Saccharomyces cerevisiae S288C: one gene and its partners. The protein of the gene in region 2 binds, or shares a complex with, the protein of the main gene of each other region. Each region holds a gene or a part of one and is shown on either strand. Other genes may lie near its edges.

Evidence for each region.
Region 1: MRP7 (region 2) and MRPL28 share a complex: the UniProt entries of both Saccharomyces cerevisiae proteins name them as parts of the mitochondrial large ribosomal subunit.
Region 3: MRP7 (region 2) and MRPL3 share a complex: the UniProt entries of both Saccharomyces cerevisiae proteins name them as parts of the mitochondrial large ribosomal subunit.
Region 4: MRP7 (region 2) and MRP49 share a complex: the UniProt entries of both Saccharomyces cerevisiae proteins name them as parts of the mitochondrial large ribosomal subunit.

Annotation. Positions count from the first base shown.
Region 1 is NC_001136.10:1,384,385-1,387,016, reverse strand, and holds MRPL28 (mitochondrial 54S ribosomal protein mL40 MRPL28), read right to left. Parts: upstream 945-2,632; coding exon 501-944; downstream 1-500. Other genes in the region: STP1 (Stp1p), read right to left, coding at 1-201; CMI8 (Cmi8p), read left to right, coding at 1,251-1,493; MFA1 (mating pheromone a), read right to left, coding at 1,731-1,841; TFIIH/NER complex subunit TFB3, read right to left, coding at 2,241-2,632. UniProt on the Saccharomyces cerevisiae protein: Component of the mitochondrial ribosome (mitoribosome), a dedicated translation machinery responsible for the synthesis of mitochondrial genome-encoded proteins, including at least some of the essential transmembrane subunits of the mitochondrial respiratory chain.
Region 2 is NC_001146.8:620,813-624,159, forward strand, and holds MRP7 (mitochondrial 54S ribosomal protein bL27m MRP7), read right to left. Parts: upstream 1,617-3,347; coding exon 501-1,616; downstream 1-500. Other genes in the region: TOR complex subunit LST8, read left to right, coding at 1-166; HRB1 (mRNA-binding protein), read left to right, coding at 2,103-2,132, 2,475-3,347. UniProt on the Saccharomyces cerevisiae protein: Component of the mitochondrial ribosome (mitoribosome), a dedicated translation machinery responsible for the synthesis of mitochondrial genome-encoded proteins, including at least some of the essential transmembrane subunits of the mitochondrial respiratory chain.
Region 3 is NC_001145.3:320,256-323,547, reverse strand, and holds MRPL3 (mitochondrial 54S ribosomal protein mL44 MRPL3), read right to left. Parts: upstream 1,674-3,292; coding exon 501-1,673; downstream 1-500. Other genes in the region: CSI1 (Csi1p), read right to left, coding at 1-248; MSS1 (Mss1p), read left to right, coding at 2,531-3,292. UniProt on the Saccharomyces cerevisiae protein: Component of the mitochondrial ribosome (mitoribosome), a dedicated translation machinery responsible for the synthesis of mitochondrial genome-encoded proteins, including at least some of the essential transmembrane subunits of the mitochondrial respiratory chain.
Region 4 is NC_001143.9:133,221-136,110, forward strand, and holds MRP49 (mitochondrial 54S ribosomal protein mL61 MRP49), read right to left. Parts: upstream 915-2,890; coding exon 501-914; downstream 1-500. Other genes in the region: putative serine/threonine protein kinase KKQ8, read right to left, coding at 1-242; cAMP-dependent protein kinase catalytic subunit TPK3, read right to left, coding at 1,289-2,485. UniProt on the Saccharomyces cerevisiae protein: Component of the mitochondrial ribosome (mitoribosome), a dedicated translation machinery responsible for the synthesis of mitochondrial genome-encoded proteins, including at least some of the essential transmembrane subunits of the mitochondrial respiratory chain.

The DNA of each region.
Region 1 (2,632 bases), on a different chromosome or scaffold from region 2:
GGGAAACAAACTTGTGGTAGTCTTTTCTTCATCTGCTGCATCTTTGCCTTCCTCCTTTGTCGCATTTTCACAAGAATAATGATGACTTAGATCTGGCTTGGATATAATAACTCCGCTGACGAGCTCTCTGAAGAACGCGTATATCTTGCCTGGAATGGCCCTAATATGTTTCTGCGGAAACAGTAGCGTGGTAGAGGGCATTTTTGAACGAATGTGGTATAGCCGGTATAGTTTGCCTTTTCCTTTAGTCTGTAATGTAAATCTACTTTTAATCAATGAGTCCTTGCAGTTTATACAAGAGTCAGCTTGCTTTTTTTTTCGCTTGCAGGGATGGGAAAAAGCAGTAAAAAAAACGTCAATAGTGATACAGTTCATGTCATAATTACCACATGCCCTTTATATGTCTATGTACATATAATTATATAAGTCCATATATACGTGGCATTCTATTGATCATCAGTTATTTACAGCAGGAGACAGTCAAGCGTTCGCTCACGCTATCATTTTCGGAAGTTATAATGCCATAACGTATTTGGGGGGAAGTCAGTGGGCACCTTCATTTCCATCGGGAATCGCTTGCCCTTCTCGGAAGCATTGGCAGCCTCAAACAGACGAGGGCTGAGTTCTTGTAGAAGGTTCATAGATCTCTCAATGCTCTTATATTGTAATTCCAACTGTAAATTTCTGCGCTCCCGTTGTTGCTGCTGATAAATTGACCAACACTTCTCAATGGTCTGATGTTTAATCAGGTCTTCACGCGCCAGCTTCAGCAACTTGGGCTGCTTTCTGCTTGCAGACATCACACTCAACTGCGTGACGACCCTTTGTGCCAAAGGTGACAGTGAGCTCTTGCTCTTTGTTCTCTTATTTCTGATGAAGACCGTGGTCCCAGATACCTGTTCTAGAACGGCTCTGTGTGGTTTTTTGAATGTTTGTGCCAGCATGTGTTATCTTCGTTGTGTAGCGTAGGTCTTCGTCAGTTCAGTATCCTAATCTGCAAATATCTGGAGGTATATTAACTTATGCTTCCCTCCATACAGGCAGGCCCCAGTCTGCTTCATCTTGTTTCTCGCTGGGAACTTTTGTCGCCCCATACGATAGTCACTGTATACGTAATTCTCAGCCGTGCATATTTCACAATAAAGACAGTCTAAAGGGACAAAGGCAAAGCGTCAATGGACAGACGACAATTAACTGGATATTATTTTATGTGTTGAGTATTCAAAGCACATAAACAAAAACAGATTATGATGGATAGCGGAAAGAGTGATATAAATAAGCATGCATACAAGGAGACAGCGACCCCGCTGCCCGTAGATCCGCCCTCTTACGAAGAAACAATGAAGCAAGATAAGGAGGAGGTCGAAGCCGATGAAACGACATCTTCCGCACACAGAGACAGCTTTATGAGGCCTGTTTACACTCACCATCCGCATCCAAGATCCCACAAGGGATATCCGGGTGCGAAGACCCTTACATATACTTCACGGTAGGTGGTAAGCGGTATATGTACATATACATATATATATATATATATATATATATGAGCGTGTGCATGGATGTACAACGATAACAAAAGCAGGTACAGGGTATCAAAATATTTTATATAATATAGTTACTTAGGATATTTATTATTAGGTCTAAAAAGAAATATTACGAACAAACATGATATATTGGTGTAGCGGAAAAGGAAGATAAAGGAGGGAGAACAACGTTTTTGTACGCAGAAACTAAGCAATAACACATGCTGGGTCCCAGAAGACACCTTTGATAATATAGTTGTCCTTCTTTTCACTGCTGGTCTTTTCTTTTGGAGCGGCGGTAGCGGTAGATGGTTGCATTTCTATTCGATGGCTTTGTACTTATTTTGGTTTTATCCGAGAAACAGTTACAGATCCCTCTCATTAATTCATTTCTGGCGGTTTATATATGAAGACTCTATTTCATTTTTTTACTTGATTTTCAGCAACCACTGAATCTGTATCTTTATCTCTACCATTTTAGGTTTCTTAACTGTTTTTTCTGATTACTGGGTTTCATTTAACATGTAAATTTCCTTTTTGGGTAATTACACACTCGTTTGTAACAAGAACAAAGAATAAAGGTATGGGCCAACCGTAGCAGTAGGTGCCTTTTTTCTGAACACTGAAACAGATCGTGAATGCATGTATATGCGTACATAGAAAATAAAAAGTAGTTGATTACATAGCTTATGCCACGTTGCACACTATCCTGATGTTTTAAAGCTCCTCGGATATAACACATCCTAAGCCCATAAATGCCTCTGTCAACACCCTTTCGTACGCATAATTAGTGTTGAACCCAGACGCAATAAATTCTTTCCTGTGCTCAAGATCTTTGATGAATGGGTCATTGTATACTGAACCTTTCAACGTAAACCTTGGGTGTGCTTCTCTATCACCGTTAAACGGCGTGAACGGTACAGCATCTTTGAGTCTCGAATTCTGTACGTTCACATTTGAATTGAAATATGGATTGTTTTTCAGAACTCTATTTAGTTCTTCCAATTTCCTTCTAGCGGACGATTTTTTCAATTTAACCGTATTTTTAACGCCTTCGATTGTTTCATTGATATCCTGGGTGGTCGTACTCAACCGGTTGACGATTTCTT
Region 2 (3,347 bases):
CCAAAGGTGGGTTTGGGATTGCGCATTTAGTGCTGACAGTGCGTATCTAGTAACGGCATCGTCCGATCATTACGTGAGATTATGGGATTTATCAACTAGAGAAATTGTCAGACAGTACGGTGGACACCACAAGGGAGCTGTATGTGTCGCATTAAACGATGTATAGTTTACAATTTATCAACTACCAAGCTTGAAGGACCGAAGTGACAAAAAACATTATGATTTTCAGTGTTTGCTTATCCGCCTTTTTGTAAATATAGATTTTACTATCCTGTGCATTTTAGTTAATTGATTGTTCACAAAATGAAAGCAATCGCGATGCATATCATCAATGAAAGGAAGACGAGAATGTACAGTATAAACATATTCCCTTGCATGTAGCACTAAATTTTAAGTTTCGTGTAGACGAAAGGTTTAGCTACTTGCGCGACAAAATAGTAATATTTACAGGCATTCTTAAACATTTTATATGTGTACATACTGTGCGTAAGGAAAGAAAATCAAAGCTTGCTCAAAAAAGCCCGCCTACTTCTAGCAATGACTTCAACTTTATTTTTGGTGTAATCAAAACGTCTAGACACAATTGACTTCTTCCCGCTTTTGGTTTCAACCGTACTATCTGTTTCGGGGAAGACCGACTTTAAGTATTTCCTACGCAAATGTACTTCTTCAGATAAAGTCAAAAAATTACAAGCGTCCTTGAAAAGCGCCTTAATATAATTCTTGTCTTTTTTGGTTTCTAAGTGTTGGGATTTTTCTAGGTCCTCTAATAGTTTTGCCTTCAAAGCTTGTTTTTCTTGTTCCGAAATATACTGGTGTAGCTCTAGCTTGTTATTGAAAGATGTAGATGAGTTCAAAAGATCACTACACTCATCAATCTTGGATAGACTCTCCGACAATTTCTCATTCGTCCAGCTTTCTCTCCTTGCCTTCAAACGCTCTTCTTCTTTTAAATAATATCTACTATTGAACCTTGCATCTTCTATGGGGTATCCATTCTTCAGGGAAGCCCTTACACGAATTAAGTATGACGTTGCCAATTCGATGTCTTTTATATCTAACTTAAGTTCATCCCGAAGAACCTTACTCAACTTGTCTTGTAACTCCTTTCTTTTAGATTCCCTGACCTCTAACTGCTTCAAAATATTAGGTTTTGCGAGATAGTCTTTTCTAGAAATAGAATTTTCTTCCTTATATGCTGCCCTTTTATTTGTTAACTCAAAACGGCCAAACCTCCTTACGGTAGGCTCAAAATGAGGAGATGGCAGTTTCAAATCACGCCTCAAGGCAACACCAATGAATTTTCTTTTAGGATGAAAAGGATCAAGATAGTAACGAACAACACCAGGTTCTAAGGCGAATATGGAATGATCTTTCCCTATACCAACGTTTTCTCCAGGATAAAACTTTGTTCCTCTTTGCCTCATAATAATTTCACCTGTGGAAACATCCTGGCCTTCATATTTTTTTGGTCCTAACCTTCTTCCTGCAGAATCCTTCATACTTGTTCTCGAGCCCGCAGCCCTTTTGGTGGCATTACGCACTTGAAGGAACACACCAGACACATGTTTTTGGAATGAAAAACTAGAAGTATCTAGTAAAATAGGATTCCACATATTCTCACCTTAGGTTAAGCTTGAAATATTATGACCACCCAAACTGGCGAGTTTTATTTTTACAATGAGCCAACTTCATTCTTCAGTGAACTATCTTGAATGAGTCTCCAAAGAAAGAGCTTTAAAATTCAATAGCGGAACGTCAGATATCGAAACACCCAGTCATAACAGCCAAATTTGCATAATTGGTATAAAAACAGTGTGTATAACATTACAGAGAAGCCGTTGTGTGAAAATCTTTTTAGTACCTATTCAACCAAACAATTGAACTTGAACACCAAACTCTAGCCATCCTTATCCTCTTCTGGTCACTACATATACCTCAATTTACGTCTTTCCTTGGGTCGTTTCAAATGACTCTCTTTGTTTAGCGAGGGAAATGAAAAAGTAGAGTACTGGCTGAAAAATTTCATAATTATGTTTGCTCATGAGTTCGAAAACAGTTTGAATGAGCAGATAGAACGCCAAATATTAAGTTAACAGGATATGTCTGATCAAGAACGAGGTTCAGAAAACGTATGTTTCATTGATAAGGGAGGTGAAGAAAAGTTTGTAAAATGAGACTTTATGAGGTCATTGGAATTAAATAGACATCAACGAATGGTGAGTCACCATTTAATGCTGCCTTCAAAACGCTTGCTTCAATGTGATTCCACTGGTTAAAGGGGGTTTTTTGAATGCATTGCTAATGTTTATCTACTGGCTATGAAAGTGAGAATATCAATTATAAATAAAACCCTGATTTTCTACCTGCCATGCTATAATGTACAGTTTATTCCAACTTTGAAACGCAATGACTTATTGGTCTCTCTCATTATGAAATTTAGTTACTTTTACTAATGTTATTCATTGTTGTAGAATAATCGAAGTAGATCGAGGTCGAGATCACCTGTTCGTCGTCGGATGAGTGATGATCATGGTTATGAAAGAGACAACCATTTGTCCCGGAGGTCAGGTAATTATAACGGTAGGCGTAAGTTCGCAGATACGTACAGAGGAAGCAGAGATAGAGGAGAATATAGAGGAGGTAGAGAAAGGTCTGATTACAGAGAAAGAGAAAGGTTCAATAACAGAGATAATCCTAGATCTAGAGACCGTTACGATGATAGGCGCAGAGGAAGAGATGTGACTGGTCGTTATGGGAACAGACGTGATGACTATCCTAGAAGCTTTAGGAGTAGACACAATACACGTGATGACAGTAGGAGAGGCGGTTTTGGTAGTAGTGGAGCAAGAGGTGATTACGGTCCTTTGTTGGCACGTGAATTGGATAGTACATACGAAGAAAAGGTCAATAGAAACTATTCCAATAGTATATTCGTGGGTAATTTAACATATGACAGCACCCCCGAAGATCTCACTGAGTTTTTTTCACAGATAGGAAAAGTAGTCCGCGCGGATATAATTACATCAAGAGGGCACCACAGAGGTATGGGTACAGTAGAGTTCACTAATTCGGATGATGTTGACAGGGCCATCCGCCAGTACGATGGGGCCTTCTTCATGGATCGTAAAATCTTCGTCAGGCAAGATAATCCACCACCGTCAAACAATATCAAGGAAAGGAAAGCACTCGATAGAGGAGAGCTTAGACATAACCGAAAAACACATGAAGTTATTGTAAAAAATTTACCTGCTTCCGTTAATTGGCAGGCTTTGAAAGACATATTCAAGGAATGTGGGAATGTCGCACACGCTGATGTGGAATTGGATGGCGATGGAGTATCCACT
Region 3 (3,292 bases), on a different chromosome or scaffold from region 2:
AGGTTAATTCTCCTTTCTAGGCGTTCTTGATTTATTTTATCATTTTCCTGCATCGGGATTCGTATAACTTTTTCAATATACCATTGAGACTCTGCTTCATTACCATTTATTGGGATGTAAATTTCATCATCTTGATCCAATTTGCAACCTATCAATAAAAACCAAGAGTGGTCTATCGAGTCAAACGATGACTCGTGCAGGAAGTTAATTTCTGATATAGCTAGAGAACTGAATTTTAGGAGGTCCATTTACCCTATATTACTTTGCTTTGTGTTATTATCCCCTCACAAATGTGCGTTCTCTTTAAATATAGCAAGTCTTTTTTTTTTTTGTCTGTTTCCTGGTAAGATATAGTAGTAAACAAGGAACATGCTTCTGTTCACTTTTATATATTTTAGTACACATAAAGTAAACGCATATCGTACCAACGTGTATATATATATGTACAAGAATGTATTCTGGTTAAGGAGTTCTCTATCTACAAAATGGCAAACACAGAACTAAACAACAACAGTGCCAGGATCAATAACTGGTTCCTGTTGAGCAAGAGGCTCGTAGCAATACCATTTCATCAAAGCATCAGTAGCGGCTCTTGCTTTTGCCTCCTTTAATGAGGAACCATAACCTTCACCTAATGTCTCTTCGCCTGAAAATACATGCACAATAAAGACAGGTGATTTCGATAGTCTACCAGACTCAGCGACCAGTTTCGATACAGGTTTCTCCAGCCCCTCTCTACGACATAGCATAGCCAATTCTCTTGTAGGTTGTTCAAACTGGAACATTTTCGTGATATCCAATTTCCTGCTCATTATATGATCATCAATAAATCTGTAAACAGCTTGAGAATCTTTTTGCTCCGTTACTGCCCAGATGGCAGCTATTATACTCCTCACGCTCATTGCAAGAGCGCTTGTTTCTGAAAAGTTCTTTCCGGTGATTAGCTCAATACCGTCCTTAGAGTTCAATGAATTATTAAAGAATTTGAGTCTTCCCAAAGTGAATTCGAATGGTTCCATTTTCAAATAGCGTGATAAAACAGACGTAGTTTCTACTTCAATACCCCAGTATTTAGCAATGTGCGCCAGTACCGCCTCTGATATATATGCGTTAACCGCAGCATTCAAAACCACAGTGGGTAGTCTCGGATATTTCTGTATAATGGATTTTGTAACGTGGTAAGAGAGCAAGTTCTTTCCCATGATGTTTAAACCGTGGTTGTCCAAGTATTTATTAGTAGGTACAGTATTAACGAAAGCTGCACCTTTTGTAGGATTATTTATCTTGTCGGGTAGTTTTGCAGAGGGACACGTTAAGCATCTGGAAAGTGTTGAATAGGTCAACTCATTAGGTAATTGTAATCTCTTATGAAGCGTTCTTAACGAAGGTGACTTAGAGGCCACTGATTCAGGTATTTCATTTACAGTGCTCTTCAAACCCTGGTAGTATTCCTTATATTTAGCAAGTTCAGATTCGGGTAGGAAGCGCTTTTCTTGTTGTGTTAATGTTGAAAGGTGTAGGTATCGTTTTGAAGTAAATCTCGAGGATTGCTGCAGAAAGCATGTGCTAGACAAATGCTGTGAGAAAGGTCTTATGGTTCGGCTCCAATGCCACGTACTGTTTGGAAAAGGTTTCATACCTGCTGCTATTGCTCTTTTCAAAACTATGCCCATTCTGTATATATAACTACAGCTTTCTTTTCACCAATTCTTTTCAGATTATTTTAGTATTGCTCTTTTTCAGAGGCGGGAAACTTCACTCTTTACCCGGCTGCATATTGTAAGGACCTTTTCTATAATCACGCATTAAAGCGACTGTAATTTATATCTAATAGGATAATAATTTGCCATTAATTATTCATCTTGTTGCGTCTACAATCATTCTATTCCGTATTCTTTATGTCAAGGCATAAGAGACCTTGGTGTTTACTTTTCATCTTTCCGTAACGTTTTCTATAAACAGTAAAATTGATGAATCTTTGGAACTCCACCTTTCTTAAAGGTAATAATATGCCATCCATATCGGAACGAATGGGGATTAATAATAAATGAGTTGCTATAGTAGCAATCTAAGTGCTGACATCGTATACGTCTGAATGTGAATGTGCCGATTCCAGAAAAAAATATTCTACTTGCAGTTCAGAAAGTACTGAGGCGGCGTTAAAGATCTATTAGATTGATAATCTTCTGATAGTTGTATATATATATATATATATATATGAGTAACACGGGTTGCCACATGTCTTCAAATTGGTTTCATTAATAAAAGTTTAAAAATGTATCCTACATTTATGTTTTCTATACTTCTTCAAAGTCTTCAATACAAATCGGGCGTGTGGCGTAGTCGGTAGCGCGCTCCCTTAGCATGGGAGAGGTCTCCGGTTCGATTCCGGACTCGTCCATTTTTTATTTTTTTGGCTAACTAACCCATATATAACGTCTTTTACGAGGTTACATGAAGATACAGCAATATTCCATACGACTGCTATCTACTTAGAGAATGTTATATATGGTTAATAAGTATTCTATTTATGAATAGTGCATCTTTCTTACAATCACGGCTTATTTCGAGATCCTTTCTCGTAAGAAGGTCGTTAAAGAGGTACTCCGGACTTGCAAAGCCTTATACCTTCCAGCAACCAACCATATATGCATTATCTACACCAGCAAATCAAACCTCTGCGATAGCAATCATAAGAATATCTGGTACCCATGCTAAGTACATTTACAATCGACTAGTTGATTCAAGTACAGTTCCGCCGATCAGGAAGGCTATTTTGAGGAACATTTATTCGCCGTCCTCTTGTAGTGTGAAACCTCATGATCAAAAGGAAAGTAAAATATTATTAGACACATCGTTGTTGCTATATTTCCAAGCTCCTTATTCATTTACTGGTGAGGATGTGTTAGAGCTGCACGTTCACGGCGGGAAAGCCGTAGTTAATAGTATACTGAAAGCTATCGGCTCGTTACACGATAGAAGCAGTGGTAAAGATATAAGATTTGCCTTGCCTGGCGACTTCTCCAGGAGGGCGTTTCAAAATGGAAAGTTTGACCTTACCCAACTTGAAGGTATCAAAGATCTTATTGATTCGGAAACAGAATCTCAAAGGAGATCTGCCTTGTCAAGTTTCAATGGGGATAACAAAATCCTATTTGAGAACTGGAGGGAAACCATTATCGAGAATATGGCACAGTTGACTGCTATAATAGATTTTGCCGACGATAATAGCCAAGAAATTCAGAATACGGATGAGATTTTCCATAATGTAGAAAAGAACATCATATGTCTG
Region 4 (2,890 bases), on a different chromosome or scaffold from region 2:
CTACGCTGGCGTATTGGAGAATTTTTTGGATCTAAAATTTGTGCGGATACGGTTGATCGTCTTGGTGGCTCAGAGCTTCTCTTGGGTGAGGTAGAAGACGATCGATAAGGAATTCGGGTGACATTAATAGGACTTGAATCTCTTGAACGAGGCGGCCTGAAAAGGTTTTTAAAGGACTCAGAAAATGACCTTACTCTTCTTGTCACAGGTTGTTGCCGCTTCTTCTCCTCCTGCATTACCATTGATGCTGTCAATGTTTTTGAGTCCATCATGCAATTAAACTAGCTAGTTGAAGTGAAAATGAAATTTCCTTATTTTCCACAAGAAATACGCGGAGGGCAAAAAAAGGGACCCAAGGGCTGACAATATTCAGCACAATCCTACTTATTGTACTCTAAATTATATACTTATATGCCCCATAAGTGAGTTTTGAATTTACATATTTCCATGAAGGGCAATGTTTTTTGATATATACATGAACAAACTTATCGAGAGAAAGCTTATATAATACTTTCTTGCGGTCCAACTCTTATGATCTCATTTTCAGGAAGAGGAACGTGCTCTATTTTGTCAAGTAAGTCTTTCATTATATCTTCATGCATTTTATTACGCATATCAATAGTCTCTACAACGGAGCCTTCATGAGATAAAATCTCCAGTTTGCATGGAACGCTTTTTTGCTTGTCTTCGTTCTTTATCCTTATCACGTCAAACTTCATTCTTGGATTATAGAACTGCAAAGTGGGTAGGTAGTTATGCCAAAAAACTCTGGCACCCATATGTCCATTGTGGTTTTTCGTTTGAAAAGTCAATCTAAGACCTGAGTATTTTTTAGGATCGACTAGAATCTGCGGTAGTCTGGTAGTGGCGCTAATTTTATTCAAAAATTTTAACTGTTGTGCAACCTTAGACATCTTCTTATTGTAGCAGGCTCACTTATGTTATACTGTTCTTCTATTAATGAGTTTTATGGCCGATTCTTACAGATATCCTGTTTTCCCTGGGTGAAAAGTCCTAGATCACTTTGAACGTCCCAGTCTTCTGAGGACGCAAATGTAGTCACAATATGGCGTATATGAATGCTCCTTTATTTATCTGTATACACCTCTATTGAATAGACGTACGTAGATATATACATGTACATATATGCATGTGTCACTTTTTTATCATGGCCCTGTTAGACTCACCAAGAATCTATAACCAGGTTTGTTTGTGCTTTTTCTTGTTCTTGTTTTTACTTTTATTGATTTTTTTTTTTTTTCAATTACAATTATCCCACTGAACCTCCTTAAAATTCTTTCATTAAATCCATATATGGATCCTCCCCTTGAATTCCATAGTTGAATTCCTCTTCAGGGTATCTGTCAAATTGAGAAGTGTCACCTTGGCCCTGTTGGATTGGTGGTTCGTACGGCGTTTCTATGTATCTTGCTAACAATTTCTCCCATATCACTTCGTTAAACCACGGATGGTTCTTGACATCTTCACTTCCATTTTGTAAGTTACCCAACCTTTCACTTAAGTCTCTGGTAATTAGCTTCTTCAATAAGTCCTGCGCGTCTGGATGGAAAAATGGTGGGAACTTCAATTCGGCGTTCAGTATATTTTCGTAAGTTTTCATGGTGTTCGAATTGTAAAATGGAGTGTATCCGGCAAGCATTTCATAGATTAGCACACCAAAACTCCACCAATCCACTGATTTATTATACGGTTTTGTACTGACCACTTCCGGCGCTATGTAATCTGGTGTGCCACATAATGTGTATGTGACATCGGGAACGTATTTTGCGAAGCCAAAGTCGGTTATCTTGATATGGCCGTTTTTATCTAGAAGGATATTTTCTGGTTTCAAGTCTCTATATATTATATCCTTACTGTGCAAATATTCCAACGCTAAGCATACCTCTGCGGCATAAAATTTGGCTACTGGGTTGGGAAATCTTTGAGATTTACGTAGTAAAGAAAATAATTCACCACCTTCAATGTAGTCCATTACCATGAAAACTTGCTGAGAATCTTGGAACGTTCCCCACATTCGAATGATGAATGGATGTGAAACAATTGAAAGCATTCGGCGTTCGTCATTGGTGTGTTCAACCTGCTTCAGCTTCACTATAGTGTGCTTTTTCAATGTCTTCAAAGCGTAAAACCTCCCATTGTGATTGGAACGAATTAGGTGAACTCTCCCAAATGAGCCAGTTCCCAAAGTTCTTAAAATCTGAAAGTCACTTAGGGAATACTTTCCTGAGGTATCTCTATATTGTAGCATTGGTTTTTTAACCAAACAAATACCTGCAGACGCTTCTTCTTTCAACTTTCCGCTGTTTCTTCCATTTATCTCCACGGGTGTGTTGGAAGAACATTCCTCATGCACCGAATGTGCGTTTACAGGAATGTCTTGTCCAACGTTATCTGGAGTTGTTTCTGTCTTGGCAGTAATGCTTAATTTCCTGATTTCATTGTTGTTCATCGGATCAACATACATTTTGTGCAGGCTCGCTCTTTCCTTGTACAACCACCGATATACAATATGATTAATGTATTATTCAATAATATACGTGAAACTTTCTTATTGCTTAAAGAGTGATCGCCTATAAATTTTCTCCGACGACTGCACAAAGTGTCTCGTATGTCCACTCGAGTTTCTTACCGATAGAAGTAATAAAGCAGACAAAACTTTTAAGATCAGCTGGTAAAAAGTGTCTTTTCTTTCCATATTCTCATTGAACACAACTTTATTTTTCAATGGCATCGAAGAAATCCCGTAGCTGAAGCAACGGAAAAAAAATACCGGAAACTGCATAATGAGGCTATTCACTAAAAAGAAAGTGGTTCACCAGTATGCGTCGGAAACGTCATATAAATCTATATATGTATATGTACATATATA